Lonchura striata: one gene and its partner. The protein of the gene in region 2 interacts with the protein of the main gene of each other region in a pairwise test. Links are inferred from orthologs where the notes say so. Each region holds a gene or a part of one and is shown on either strand. Other genes may lie near its edges.

Region 1 (7,391 bases), on a different chromosome or scaffold from region 2:
CAGCGGAACAACACCGGCGGCGCTGAGACGAATAATAATGCGAAGCCCGGTCGGGTGATGGGGCGGGGCGGGGGCGACCCGGCACAGCGGTGGAATGGGGGCGAAGTTCCGTCGCCCAGAGGAAGGGGAGACCGGCAAACCCGGCACCTTTTTTTTTCCGGCTGCAATCAAACAGGGACGCGGCTCCCGGGGGGGTCGGCGAGCGCTGCCTCTGCCGGCGGCAGCAGCGCCCTCCCGGCTGCAGGTCGGAGCAGGATTCGCTCAGCGCAACCCAGGAAGCGTTTCCTTCCCTCCTGTCCCCCACCCCTCCGCCTGGCCCCCCTTCACAGCCCATCAATCCAGCCGGAGCCTCCCTCCCTCCCGCACCGGCTCTGGGAAACGCCGCCCCGCCGGCTCCGCCGCCGCCCCGCTCGCACGCTGAGGTCACCGGCAGGATCCCATGCGTGGGTTGCCGCAGGGTGGGGACGGGGGATACAACCCTCGGCGGTGGGTTCTGCTGTGCTGCACATGGCAATGGCATTGCCTGCCCCGTCCCCACGGCATGAAGCCTGATGGCAGTGCTCTGCACTATCCCCATAGAACTGTCCCCACAGCAGTGACCCTGATCGCACTGCCCTGTGCTGTCCCCATACCACTAATCCTGATGGCATTGCCTTGCACTGCCCCGATGGCCCTGCCTGCTCTGTCCTTGATGGCACTGACCCAGGTGGCACTGCCTTCTCTGTCCTCACTAACATCTCTGACCCTATCAGAACTGTCATGCTCTGCACTCCTTGTCACTGCCCCATTGTCACACACCTGCTCTGTCCTGTGCCAATGGAGCTCACGGAGGATAACACAACCAGGCCAGGCCAGGTAGATGCTATATCAGCAGCTGCTGGAGAGGTCCAAAGGCTAGTTGAAACCCTTCTGTCTTTTCTCTGTCCCACAGAATGCCTCCCTCCACCCATGGTGCTTGAGGGTAAAAGGCACTGCAAAGCTGTGCCCAAGTTAATTCCCTCAAGGACATGCACTCTGGAGCTCTTTGCACACCCACCCCTGTGATAAACACAGAGATAAAAGCCATTGAGCACCCAGGCCACATCCCCGACACATCTTCCCAGAAATCATTGTTTGAAACTTGTAAAAAACTCTGGATGTCACTGCACAGGGGTCACCTGTATCTGCTGCTTACAGTGCATCTCCCTAAGCCACTGGCCAAATTTTGTCTGCTTTACCTCTAACCTCATCCTCACCTCGCTTTGGTCAACTTTGCAAGCACAGTGGGATCCAGAGAAGCAGTGTGCGGTGTGTGCTCACTACCTTGAGTCCCAGGATGAACTAGGAAGCAGGGAAAATGGGGATGCAGCACCATGGATGTGCTAGAAGATGGGGTGTGCTGTGCCCTCCCTCTGCCCCAGGGTCCTGATCAAGAAAACCTCAGGAGTTCAGGTGAGCTAGAAAAGAGAAGACTGCACTGCAGCTGGCAGCCTCTGAAGGCAACCCTGGGGTCGTTGCAGAGCAGCAGCATCCCAGGCACAGTGTCCCACCAAGCCCTGCCTGCTCGCTGCAGTGTCCCACCACAGCAGACACCCACTGGACTGCACAGGAGGCCATGGCACCTGCATGCAATCCCCAGGCCAGAGCAAACCAGCACCCCATTCATGCCCAAACTGAAGAGGGGTGAGAAGAGTGGAAACTCTCAGTTCAGCCTGTGGAAAGAGTGTGGACAAGCCACAGAGGCTCCAGGCTGTGTACTCAGGAACAGGGTGTATCCAGGCAGAAGCATCACTGCAAGGCCGCATTTCTTTCTAAGGGGAAATCAATGACAGCCCGGGATCCCATGAGAGCCATCCCCTCGGGTCTGCCTCCAGCCTGCATGCCACCGACAGGGCTAAGATGGAGATGTACAGCCGCCAGGGGCCGGCCAGCCCACCGGCTCACTTCCTCCTTGAGCCTACAATGAGTCCAGGCTGCAGAAAGGGGAGCCCAGGGCAGAGGTCTCGGCCGATCCTCCCGCCTCCCGCGCTCCCTGCCGGGGAGACAATGCAGGCGCAGAGGGAGCCGGGGGAGCAGGGCCAGAGACAGGGCGGGGGGTCGGGGCAGATCCTGGAGCTGTGCCTGGGACAGGCTCCGCGGAGTTTCCCCGGCGAGTTCGGGAGTGCAGCGGACCCGGCTTTGTTCCGGGGGGCGGCCGGGAGGCTCTGAGGGACCCGAGCTGCCCTCCAGCCCCCCGGCACGGGCAGGAAAGGAAACGAGAAAACTCATCGCCATCACTTACAAAGGAAAACGATTTCTGGGGTCGCCCCCTCCGGCCCCGCTAAGCTCTGCCAAGTGAGGTAGTTCGGGGCCAGCCGGGCTCTCCCCAGAGCACCAGCGTGCCTGGGAGGAGGGGGCCGCGCCTCCCCGACCTGCCGTGCCGAAACTCCCCCGCGAAGGCGGCCCCCTGCCCCTGCACCGGCGAGCGGGGCTCTGCGGCACGGCTCGGCCCGGCTCCGCTCGGTACAGCAATCTCGGCTCCGCTCGCCCAGCGAGCGGGGGCGGCGGCCCCCACCTCCCCAGCCCGGGCCCCGCTCACCTGTCCATTGTCCTGGCCCTGCAGCAGCTCCTTCCCCATGGGGTATTTGATCTCCACGCCCGGGGTCTTGTCCTCCCGGTCTCCCGGGGAGCTGATGACGGAGCCGGAGATCTCGCTGATGTCGCTGGCGGTCTCGCTGTAGTTGTCCCCTCCGTCCAGCATGTCGTGCCGGCTGCCGCTCCGCGGGGTCCGGGACCCCTTCTTCCCCACGCTGTAGGCATCGAAGTCGATGGTTTTGTTCTCATAGGCCCCCTCCACGGAGGCGAACATTCCCCCGTATTTCTGTCGCGGTGTCTGAGCTGTCGTGCCCGGCCTAGCTAGATACACAGGCAGGTCATCTTCTTTATTCCAGTTCCTCTTTCTCTCGGCCATTCTCGCTGTCCGTATCTTTCTCTCTCTAGCTCTCTCCCTGCCTCCCACTTCTCTGCACCTTCCACTACCGGGATAGGCTGTTGGTGAACATAAAAATGAATGGATGGATGCAGCAGTGGTGGAGCTGGGTTGGCTGGTGGGATCTTTCCGTTAGGGACCTGCAAACGTTAACCTCCTTCCCCCACCCACCCCCCCGGAAAAAAAAAAAAAAAAAAGAAAAAAAGAAAAAAGAAAAATAAGGAGAAGGAAAGAAAGAGAGAGAGAGAAATAAATCCGAGCGGGATTTAAAAATAGCCGTGTTAGTAAAGAGCACGTGAAAATAAAGTACAAAGAGCGGAGCGGAGAGGGTGGCAGAGGCAGGTGATTGGAAAGCCCCTGACGAATGGGAAGAGCAGCAGCGATTCCCCGAGCAGGGACCGCAGTGCACTGCTCCCCCGGTATAGAATGATCCGGGGGGCGGGCGGCAGGGGGAGGAGGCAGGGAGGGAGCCCGCCGCATGCACACACGGCCGGTGCCAACGGGGTCCTGCCCTGCGGGCGGGAGGGCGCCGGTCACCCGCTGCTGCGTGGCTTCGGGGCTGGAATAAAAGGGAGGCGAAAAGAAAAAGAGAAAAAAAAAAAAAAAGAGAAAAGCTCCGAACCTCCCCAGCCCCCCCGGGACGAGCCGGAGGGAGTTTCTCCCACTTTGCTCACTCACATTGCCCCCGCCCCCTCCGCGGGAGAGGCTGCGGCGCTGCCCGGGCGGGGCGGGGGGCGCGGCCGCGGCAGCCCCCGGTACGGGCGGGGGATGGGCCAGCGTCGCTCGGGGTCGGTCTGCGGCCGCAGGGGGAGCGGCGGGGAGAAGAGCGAGGGGTGGCCGGAGTGTGGGAGGAAGCAGAAGCAGCCCCTGCCTCAGGGCAGGGGGGCCGGCGCTGCCCCTGCCGCAGCAGCCGCTGCCCGCGGGGGTGGAGGCGGCTCTGCTCCGCCCCGCCGCCCCCGGCCGCCGCTCCCGCTGCGGCGGCGCGGACCGGGCGCCCGACCCCTTCGCACGCCGCGGGGGCAGGGGCTGCGGGAGAGGGGCTGCGGGAGAGGGGCTGCAGGCGGGGGCTGCAGGCGGGGGCTGCGGGAGAGGGGCTGCGGGAGAGGGGCTGCAGGCGGGGGCTGCAGGCGGGGGCTGCAGGAGAGGGGCTGCAGGAGAGGGGCTGCAGGCGGGGGCTGCAGGCAGCAGTGCCGGCCCTGACACGGAAGTGATCGCGCCGAGCGCTGCCTGAGCCGCGGCCCCGCCGCCGGCACGGGGCGCGGGCTCCGCGGGCCTGGGCGCGCTGCCCACGGCCCCGAGTGTCCGCCGGGCCCCCAGGAGGGCGCGGAGCCGAGCGTGTCCCGCGGATCCCCCCGGCGCGGCCGGAGCGCGGCTCGCCCCCGGAGCTGTCCCTTCAGCACCCCGGGAGCCTCCCGGGCCCGCACGGGGCTCGTCTGACTTGGCCTCGGCAGAAGGAGACAAACCGGGGAGGGCTTGGCTTCACTGTGGGAGAAAGTTGCCAAAAGCAAGGGCAGGAGGAGTGGAGAGTCTGAGAGTGTGCTCCCCTCAGCTCTCTGCACAGCCTGCTTCAGAAAGTCCATCCTTACAGCCCTGCCTTACAATCCTCCTGAGATTTGGTGCCTGAGATCACCCACCAAATTCACAAGTCCTTGGACACTCCTCTCCTGCACCAGCAGACAATCTGAAATTGTCACAGGCTTTGACTGTGCCAGTAGTTACATAAGGGACATTTTCTGTTGCTCTGAAATAATATATTGTAACAAACTGGTCTGAGATTGATTATGTGACTAAGCAGTTTGAAGCAGTGGATCAATCACAAGGCCTGTTTATTGCTCATGTACAAAGTGATGCTTGAATACAAGCCCAACCACACTGCACTGTTGTCTTTGGTCCACAGGAGTACCTGATGGTCCCAGCATGAGAAAAATTGCAAGTTACTAATTGCAAAGCAGGAAAAGTGGGAGGTCCCTGGGATTTAATCAGAAATTAGTCTAGATAACCATCTTTCTCATCAACAACTACCCATGGACCCAAACCATGTGAAAAAACAGTGATGTGACATACCTGAGTAATGCCAAAATACATCAAAGGAAAACATCTTTCTTTTCTGCACTTATGATCCAGTGGGACCTGCTGTCTTAAATGCTGTGTGTGCATTCAACACTATAGGTGCTGCTCACATGAGCAGAGTTAGTAAGATAGTCAAAATTTCACTTATTATTGGTTATCGGCACACTGATTTTAGTCCACTGCCATTTATGAGCATATATTTCCCAGGTTTCTACAGCTCACTTAATAAACCATATTTCCACATTAACACATTAATATCATAGAGCGGTTTCACTGGTGCATGTGGAAAAAAAAGAAGTATAGCTCATATTGTTTCATTGCTTCCTTAGTCTTCTCTTCTACGGGAAAATACTGGGATTTTTTTTCCTGATGGTAACATTGAGGTTTATTGATCATGTTGGGGAAAAAAAAAGGTCAATTTTTTCTACACAGGACACCAAATAGTGTCAGTTAGTGAAATATATAGGTGGTACATGGATTGTGATGTGTAATTTGACTGTCTTTGCAAGTACTGGAAAAATATTCATTTTATTAGTTACTTCTTTGCAATCAAGAGATTAATTCCAGAATAAAAACTTCTGAAGGTCCCATAGTAGGTCTGATATGTTGCATAGTGCATACATCTGCTAAATGAAGAGCATTTTTATTTATCATCCATAAAGCTAAGAAAGATGGACTCTGTTTACACTTGGGATCTAGTTAGATAACACTGTTCAGGTTTCCAGAGCACTAATTTTTAAGTATTAAGTCAGGATATTCGTATTAATTCTGATACATAAGGAGATCACAAGACTCAGAGAACATGTCAGATCAGTGCTTTAGAAAATAGCATTAAACTTTCTAGTTGGAAACAAGCATAAACGAATATCAGAGTCTGTCTTTGCTTTTAAATGTTTTGGGTTTTCTTCATACCATAGGCCTTAGTTTGCTAAAAACTATTCTCAGTCACCAGATGCAGACTGTTCCTTTGTTAATTAAGAGTAATTTTAGGTGCTACGGAAGCAGACTCAAGTGCATCCTGATACCCTGGCATCCTGTGAGTTTGCCTAAAATCAAGTATGCAGCTTTGGAGAAATATATTGCTTTGGTATATTCTCTTCCAGACAGTGCATCTCATCCTGTTTTGACCTTGCTTGATGAAAAGAGGACTGAACTTTATTGAAAATGCACAGTCTTCCTATAGGACCTTTATTCCAAATAGACTAGATGAGTGATAGCAGCAAACCTAGAGACACGTTTGCTTCACACTACAAAACCTGCAACATCTTGCTGGATAAAAGCCCAACAAGAAGGGTGTCACATACCTTGGCTTTGTTTGTAGGTGAGCTCTTTCAACAGCATGAACATCATGAGCTAGAACAGAACGTCCCTGGTGCAGGGCCTTAGAGAGTGTGCAATGTGCATTTTGCACCTATTTTTTGCTATTGTGCATTTTACAACAGAATCATTGAACCAAAAAAGGCAGGAACGGTCCAAAGGGAATGAATGTGAGAGACACGAGTTCTCATTCTTCCAGAGGAGTGATTGGAGTTGCCAAGTCACTGAGTCAGTCTCCCTGTCTGTTCTGTGGGACTGCTGTATCTCCCCCCACAAAAGCCCATCCCATGGATTGGTGATTTGAACTGTCTCCTGACATACAGGAACTGTGAATCCAAAACACAGCTACAAGCTGGGGACAGCTCAGGTTACCCACTTCATGAGCAGTGATACAGCCCACAGTATTCTGCCAACTCACATTAATTCCACTAACTCGGCAGAAACTGAATGGCAGCTCCTCCACCAAAAAGAGCAAGAGCTCGGGTGTAACAATTTCCTCACCCTGTTAAAAGAACAGGTGTCCCCCTCCTAAAACTGAGACTTCCTGGGTTGCTATCCATGGACACAGTTGTACATAGAACTGTATTTCAGATGCTCTGTCACCATTTTAAAGGTAAAATAATAAAATTATAATGTTTTTAATTTAAAATATGCATACATTTAATATACAAAATTATACAAATTATACATTTAGCTAACATAGAAAAATACATCTTGTTAACAAGATAAAATGTCAACATATCTTACATAATTTGTGAGAGTTACAAATCTGTGATCATCAAGTAGACTTTGTGACTTCATTACAATTCTGTATCCTCCTAGTTACACTGAATATTAATACATATGTACAGTTGATATCAATGGCAAATGTCTTAGAGTGGAAATCTTTGCTGAAGAGTTATCCAGAAGGTTTTAATGAAATAGTTAAAACATGAGTGGCCTCTTTGATACTATTGAAGCTTCTCACATAGCTGGAACTAATGTGACACCCAGTGACAGGGTGGTCATGGGTCAGAGTTTAAACTTTTTGCATTTATTTACAAACACCCCTCCCTCC
Region 2 (7,997 bases):
CCTAGGAGATTCTTCAATGCAAGCCACACACTTTGCAGGGTTGAGCATCCATGTTTACTTCAGACAAACCTCATGTTAGCCAGGACCTGACCTGTTGGGCTCAGGATCTATTCCTTGCTGCTAGACCAGCTGGCAAAGCTGCATTAACTTTCTCACTGTGATGCTTGTCCTGCCCCAAACGAAAGGCCTCACTGAATTTTCACATATACTTTATACAGCACATCACTCAGCACAAAATACTGAAGTACACAACTGCTCCATCAATTAAGAAGTATCTTTGATGATACATCAGAACAGCAAAACACTTGCTGAAGTGATCAAAATCTATACAACTTTCCAGTGGAAAAATATAATAGAAAGCTGTGCATTGTTTTAAAATGGAAAGCTCAACAGGATATTTCACCTTTGGTGTTTTGTGAATTTAATTTCATTTTCACACCAGCAGGCACCAGTTATGTCATAAATGCATTTAGTGTAGTTTCCATAGACAATGATTTGCATTTCTTATGGACAAGCTACAGCTTATGAGGTCAAATGGATCCAATTCTGACTGTCCTGCACACACACATCTGTTGGAGGCTGAGCTCCTGAGTGACCCCTTTCCAAAGGCAGGGAAGAGCTGGATAATGAGTGTGGGGTATGTGCACCAAGCCAAGCTCACTTTAAAGCCCAGAGCCTTCATAAGATTCAACTGGATTGAAATACAGGCATGCCTAAAGTACACCAATTAAATATGAAAGATCATGTAAAAGTCAACCTTAAGTCAATTGATCCTTCAATTGAATTCAGCAATGAATCAGAATAGATGAGGTTCTCTAAAACTTAAGTTCAAGGCTCCTTCACAGAACTTCACACTACAGTAAATTGTCTTAGCACTCAAAAAACCAAAAAAAACCCCAGAAACTTAAATTAAGGCAGTATCTCAGACTGTTTTTTAAAACTTCTGTGCCCAGAATGCCAGTGAAGACTGAATTCCCAAGCTCTGAATGGGAGTAGGTGTTTCAGTTTCCCCACACTATCTCTTGAACACACCTGCTCTCCTTCAAGGACTGTAAATATACTGCAGTCAAAAGCCTTTCCCAGGGAAACACTAACAATCAAGTGCTGATTTCCTGAACAGTGACTTCTGTTAATGCCTATAAAGAGCTCTGGGACAAAGTCAGCCTGTACCCAGCTGCCTGGTGATAAGGGCAGTCACTTCCAGTCTGAAAGAATGCTAGCAATGCTGTTTTACACCATCAGTTTTAGGGAAGAGACCTTGTTTTGAGAAGGCGCATTCCTAAATATCTTAGTCCAAACAAGGCTTAATCTAAGTTGAAAGCCGGTTTTGCACAAGTGAAAACTTGAGCTTAAGAATTTTAGAACGCTGTTTGCACAGTTGTTTCTGGTTGTCACATAGATTTACTTTGACTGGATAACATCACAGCATCCTACAAAGACTAAACTCTTACACTACTTATTTCCGAGGTTAGCATCTTTGTTTTACAGAGGATTAAATTCCACGTTCTTAAGGGACACCCAGAGGAGGCAAACTCAATCCTGTGACCTCGCCCCAAGGAATTTACCGTCTACTTCTTGTCAGCAGACAACACCCACATGAAAACCCTTAAATTTGAAACTGTTGCCCAGTAATGCACTGACCAGTGATTCATCGAAAAGGAGTTCTGTTTTGTACAAAAACTGGCCCATAACAGACACATTTCCCTAGAAATATTCCCGCACCATTACACATTTAGTAAGAATGCAGCCCACTGCACCCTCCCCTCCAACACAAAGGGATCTATTATTTCAATCTGCTGCCACCACACTTGCCGTAATGCCTGTATCTGCATTCCACGGTGAATCCCATAGAAACCATTAATACCCTTCAGCCAAGCGAGCAGATGGCCCCCTTTCACTTTTATTGGATCGGAAAGTGATTCCACGTTGGGGCGTTTTTTGTAAAACGGGCTAGACTTGGATAAAGCAGGACAATAGTTTGCCTCCCCTCCCCTCGGAGTGCAGCATCCCTCTAAAGAAAACACGGAGGGCTTGCGTGAGAACTGACGGAACCTCTTTGTGCAAGGAAAGCAAACTCCGGCACTCCCACCCTCCGCCCCAGGCACGGCCACCACCGCCTCGGGCCCCTCCCTCCTCCACGACCGCTAACCTGTCTGAAGGACTGCAGGGTGTTCTCGGCCTCCTCCCTCTGAAGCATCTCCTCTTGCAACCTAGAAGGGACAAGTCGGCGGTGAAGAGGGAGCGGGGGACCCCCACATCCCCCCGCCCAGCCTCCCGCCCGCCCGGTACCGCTCGGGATGCTCAGGGGCTGCCCCCGCGCCAAGGGACAGAGCAGCGGGGAGGCAGCGGGAGGCGGCGGCAGCCCGAACCCGCCTTCCCCAGGCACTCACTTCTCCCGCAGCCGCATGATGTCGTCGGCGAGGTTGTCCCGCTCCACTTCCACCCGTGCCTTGTCGTTGGTGAGCTGGTCCACCTGTCGCCGCAGCTCCCGCATCTCCTCCTCGTAGAGGTCGCCCAGGCGGGACGTGCCCTTGCCCTTGAGCTGCTCCAGCTCGGCCAGCAAGATCTTGTTTTGCTGCTCCAGAAAGCGCACCTTGTCGATGTAGTTGGCGAAGCGGTCATTAAGCTCCTGCAGCTCAACCTTCTCGTTGGTGCGGTTCGCCTTGAACTCCGTGTTGATGGCGTCGGCCAGGGAGAAGTCCACGGAGTCGTGGAGCCGCATGGGCGGCATGCTGCTCCGCAGCCGCACCGACGTCGTCTTGGTGGCGTACACGCCGCCGGGCGAGGCGGACACGTACCGGGCGCTGCTGGGCCGCAGGGCGCTGCCCAGCGAGTACCGGCTGCTGGACGTGATGTACCGGGTGCCGGTGCTGGGGCGGCTGCCCCCGCCGAACATGCGCCGGTACGAGGAGTTTTTCGTGCTGATGCTCATAGCGGCGGCGGTGCGGGCTTTGTAATCCGGGAGCGGAGCGGGACGACCGGGGAGCGCGGCGAAGAAGGGCGGTGGCCGCGGCCAGGGCCCCTTCTTATGGGCGCCGCGACCCCGCCCCGCCGGGCCCGCCCCGCTCCGCTCCGCCCGCGGGGAAGGGGGGGCGGCCGCGGACACAAAGGCGGCGAGCGGGGCGGATCGGCCGGCGGGGCGCGGAGGGTGGGCGGCAGCTTGTGCCGTGGCTGAGTCCCGGGAGGCTGGCGGGTTTCCTGCGGGACGTGGCAGGGCGGTGTCCCACAGCGGCCGCGGGGAACCCCGGCACGGTGCGCCCGGGGAGGACGCGGTGACAGCAGCGGCATCTTCGTCGCGGAAACGGGCGCTGGATTTCCCCCTCTCGTCTCCTTGTCCCGCTCCAGTGAGCGTGCTGGCTGCAAGAAGGGGTTGGCAAGTTTAGTGGCACAGGCCTGGCAATATACTCCGAATAACCTATTAAAAACCCTCTATAGGTATGATGTATATTTATCTAGATATCTAAGAGCTTTCTGAAAGAGTAAGATCAGGGAAGAAAATATGCCAAGTATTACAAAGGGCTGCCAAGTCTTCAAAATAAACAACCAGAAAAATAATGTATGTGTTTTCTTCAGCTGCCTCCCATGATAGCAATCTCAGCTCCTATGATTAAAACATGAACTTTACAGGTTAAATATGTTTTCCTTGTAGCTGGGTAAGCAGTTAGATGCCTAAGGCTTAATTCTGCCATTTTTGTAACAATGATCCCCAGACTAATTTAATTTTTGGTGGGGTTTTTTTGTGTGGACAGTACATTATTGAGATTGCTGCATTCAGGATCTTGCTCCTGAAAAATAACTAGGATAGAATCAGACTAGATTTTAACAGAAGTTTGTTTCTCCACTGTTGTGCCCAACAGACTTTGCTATTCATTTTGGTAGGTGCATGGTTAGAGTCTTAGGAGAGCACCTGGAAAAATTATAATTATTCATTAACTATGATCTGCAAATATGTATGTAAAATAAAAGGCCAGACAAAAGTCCCAGTGTTTTCAGAGCAATTTTACTATCAAAATGGGACTACCAGCAATGGAAAAGAGTGATGTAGGTAGTACAGGCCAATAGCAATGGCATAAAAGTTAACAGAGAAAAACTTTTAGTAGCAGATTGTTTCAGCATGGATTCAGAGATTGCTTAAGGAAGATGACAGAATCTCTGTCATTTAGAAAACTTTAAACTTGAGTGGCCAAAGCACGATTCACATTCTGAGATTTTGCACTGATGCATCAGGTAAGGGGCATCTTTTTTCTCTGCTATGGGAAGTGTGTGATACATTGCAGACATTATCTGTAATGTACTGCTTCAGCACTTCGGGGATGCAAAACTACCATTGATTTTTGATTCTTTTTAGCTTGCAGTCCTGCAGGAAGAAATATCTTCTCTGGAAGTTGTGATAAACCTGAACATGAACAGTGGGTAGAGAAAAAGGTAATCTTCACACCCCAATTCCCACTAGTCAACTACTGTTGACTTCAGGTAATGTACTTTACAAGGAAGGATGTGAACCTATGTATTTTATTAAAGATCTTGTTTTTTTGAAGGAAATTCTGCTTTGCTTTCATTCTGTTGGCAACCAGAAGTGCAGAAATGCAGTTTGTATCTAAATGTAAGTCCTTGAGGTTTTAATTTCTTTTGTTCACTGAAGCTTAGTCAAGCAAAGGAAGCTGACAAGGTTGAGCTACTGAAGTGCTTGTAGTATAAGTCCCAGGCTACAGCTCATTCCATTCAGCCACTGAATAAGAGGCAGAGGTCACACAGCATTCCTGAGGCTAAGGGTTCCCAAAGCCCAGCCTGGACGCTGTTTGCTGCCCAAACCTCTCAGACCTCTATTTAAGCCATCAAGTTTGAGCTGTAAGCCTGTGAGAGGCCTGGCACAGAAGTACATACTTGTAGGCAAAAAGCAAAACAGCACATAACCAACAATCTCATGGATTAAAGATGCTGTACTCAGAAATACTGATAGCTTTGCTAGACTGTTTTTTAAAGGTGTACTGGTGCCCCATCTGTTTTCCTAACAGAGCACAACTTATACTTCACAAAACCCTCAGTGGCACACATATGCAAGAATCATCCTCATTCAGAAAATGTTTTGCCTCTAAAATCCAAGGTATTTGTTGTAGTAAATATGACCCACCCACTTCATATTTGAAGTGTAATTTCCATATGTTTATATCACTGCTGCATATGTGCTCTTGGCCACCTACCTCATTTCTGTGTCTCACTATGAAATGTTCAGATATTGTTGACTGTTGGGACTACAGTAAACCTTTAAGTGCCTTTTGCTGGTTGGCATTTACACAGATGTACAAATGGAAGAAGCTGTAAGTTTCTTGTAAGCTGTAATAAATTTAATGCACATTTGCATTACAAACTCCCTAGGGGATTAAAACATGTTCCCTTGAAATGCAAAAAGATCTCTACTGTCCTTCTCAGAACAGACTGTCTCAATGTAGCCATAAACATCACTGAGAGTGTACTTTGAATAGAAATGAAATCACAGTAATGTCTAGTTTCATGGGAAATTCTATGGGACTCTCAGAGGCAGTGGCTGATGGAGATCTTGACCACTTCTGACATGAAGAACAGACAGCTAAGAGCATCACTCAGCACCACGTTGGGGATTATTCATAAACTACTGGCTGTTATCTGTGCTGTTTACTGCAATGCCTTCCCTTGCAATTCCAGTGCACAGTCATGCCCTGGACCAACCCAAAGCATCACCTCTACAGAAGTAGATCATAGCTAAGCCAATGGCACTCTTAAAAAATCAAACAGGTTTTATCACAAGAGTTTCAATTCACACTGAAATTTTCTTTTATGCCTTTTTTTTGAGGCCTTTTTTTTCCCCCCACATAATTATGTATTCGTTTGCTGCCAAGATGAAGTACGGAATCAAGTCCTAGATATTTAGCAAAAAGGCACCTGTACTGTGTGTAACTTTCATTAATGGGGAAAGTGGATATGCATAAAGAGAAGGTACGGGTGCCTGAATGGTTTTGTACTGCATATCAGTTGTAGTAAAAATTAAAAAGTCCATATGACAGAATTTCTATTATTTCCTTGCAAAAATATCTGTTGGTCTGAAAACATCACTGAAAAGACTAGCATTCACTTATTTTTAAGTTTTTTTTTAATTTACCATTTAATTTAAACAGTAAGAAGTGAAAACAATTTAGTCCAAATATTGAATGTGCTTTCCAGTTACATAAATCTTGACTAAAAAGATGTGAATGCTTTTCTTAATCAGATTTATGCCCTTTTTCTAAAGTTTCTGCTTCCAGGATGTGTAGAAAGACACATAAATATTAAATACCGATGAAAACACATCCTGCCATGCAAATTCAATAGTTTTTGTGTCAGTACCATACAGCACTCGTAAGCCCAGGCACACATGGGGCTGTAGAGGCATTCCTTCATGCACCCTCTGCACCATGGCTATTAAACAAACTCTGGGCTATGGGGACACATTTTAACATGAGGAAATAAAAGACCCTTAACACCCTACAGACAATTGAACAGGAGGAATACTCTGTAGTGCTCAGCCAGAGTAAGTGCTGTGGCCTATCACTTGAGTGACTGCTGTGGCTTTCACTGTCTAAGAAAACCTTCAACCTGGCCTAAAAACATGGAGACTGCCATGATTTTGAAAACAGAAAGATCCCTATTAAAAAAAAAAAAAAAAAAAAGAAAAAAAAAAGGGATTCTGGCTCTAATCTTCAGCTAGGATAAGTCCCTCTCTTTAGCTGAGAGCCAAGTGTAAGGAGGAGCCCCCAAGAAAGGCCAGTGCATTCAGGGAAGTTATGGTTTTTCTGAGCCCTAATAACCCATCTCCCTGAATTCTGACTAGGAGAAGCTGATTTGGATTTCTGAATATCACCAGGCTGCAGAACATCTAAATGTTCCAGCATTGAGTTCTCCCCTTGTGAGTAACCTCCTTGACTAATTTTTGTCTTGATAAAGAAACTGGCAAATTCTTTTATGAAATCTTTTTAAAAATTATGTTGCCTATTGTCATTACCAGTGTTGCAAAGCATATCAAATTAGTATGACTAGCTGCTGATTTTTTCAAGTAAATGACTAGGCTCTATACTCAAAACTAAACAAGTTTGTCTAAAATATTCTATTTTAATGTATAATGAACTATATGAAACTGGCAGGGGTTTCATAATTAAGGAAGTGATTTGGACATGAGTCAAGCTACCCCATCGCACAATTTACATTTCCAAAGAATTATTATTGTCATGCCTTAAATGCCTCTCTACTATGGTTTATAATTGCCAGAATAGGAAGCTTTCTGTATCAAAATATGACATTTCTGTACCAAATGGCTTGCTCATTTTCAAAGCCACTACAGTCCTGCATCCTGAGGTTGTCTCAAACACCATGCACACCTCTAGGAACAAGAAGAGAAGAGAAGTTTTTAAGCTCTATGACAAGTATAGTAATTTATATAATCCATACCTTAAAAAAAAATCAAATTAAGAATGACACCCTGTCTCATTGCATTTAACAGCAATAGCACTGAATGGCAGCAATAGTTAGCAATGACTGGGACGTACAGAATGAAGTTTTCCAAACTGAGAAGAGGTTTGGCATAGTTTAAGGCTCAATGCTCAACCTGAAACTCTTTAAGCAGAACCAATTTGTAGAATACACAAAGTCTCTCAGTCTTGATTTTGGGTGCCCCAAAATAGATAATTTGAAATTTTATCTCTTCACATTCTTGTTTCATGAAATTTGTATATTATCAAAGACCAAGAAATTGTTCAAGGATCATGATAGGCACTTTATAAGGATCATAAATATCAGATTAAATATTTGATTTAAGCAGCTCAAGTTTTCAGGAGAATCTATGCAAAATGCATAGCGTGTGTAGCTTCTTTCTGTCCTTTGCCACACTGCTGACCATCTTGGACTTGCTCAGCACTAGATTGCAATTCCTGCAGCAAACTGTTGATCCAAGTAGAAGTCAACAGTGTGGATGAACAGTTACTTGTCAC

The links. The genes of interacting proteins can lie anywhere in the genome.
Region 1: the proteins of VIM (region 2) and CRMP1 interact in binary tests that used the Homo sapiens proteins (3 or more experiments, as listed by UniProt). The link is inferred for Lonchura striata from reciprocal best matches to the Homo sapiens genes VIM and CRMP1.

What each region holds. Positions count from the first base shown.
Region 1 is NC_134606.1:12,496,785-12,504,175, reverse strand, and holds the start of CRMP1 (dihydropyrimidinase-related protein 1), read right to left. Parts: upstream 3,078-7,391; 5' UTR 2,930-3,077; coding exon 2,558-2,929; intron 164-2,557; exon of another isoform or gene 1-163.
Region 2 is NC_134603.1:136,552,114-136,560,110, reverse strand, and holds the start of VIM (vimentin), read right to left. Parts: upstream 3,007-7,997; 5' UTR 2,933-3,006; coding exon 2,391-2,932; intron 2,211-2,390; coding exon 2,150-2,210; intron 1-2,149. UniProt on the Homo sapiens protein: Vimentins are class-III intermediate filaments found in various non-epithelial cells, especially mesenchymal cells. Vimentin is attached to the nucleus, endoplasmic reticulum, and mitochondria, either laterally or terminally.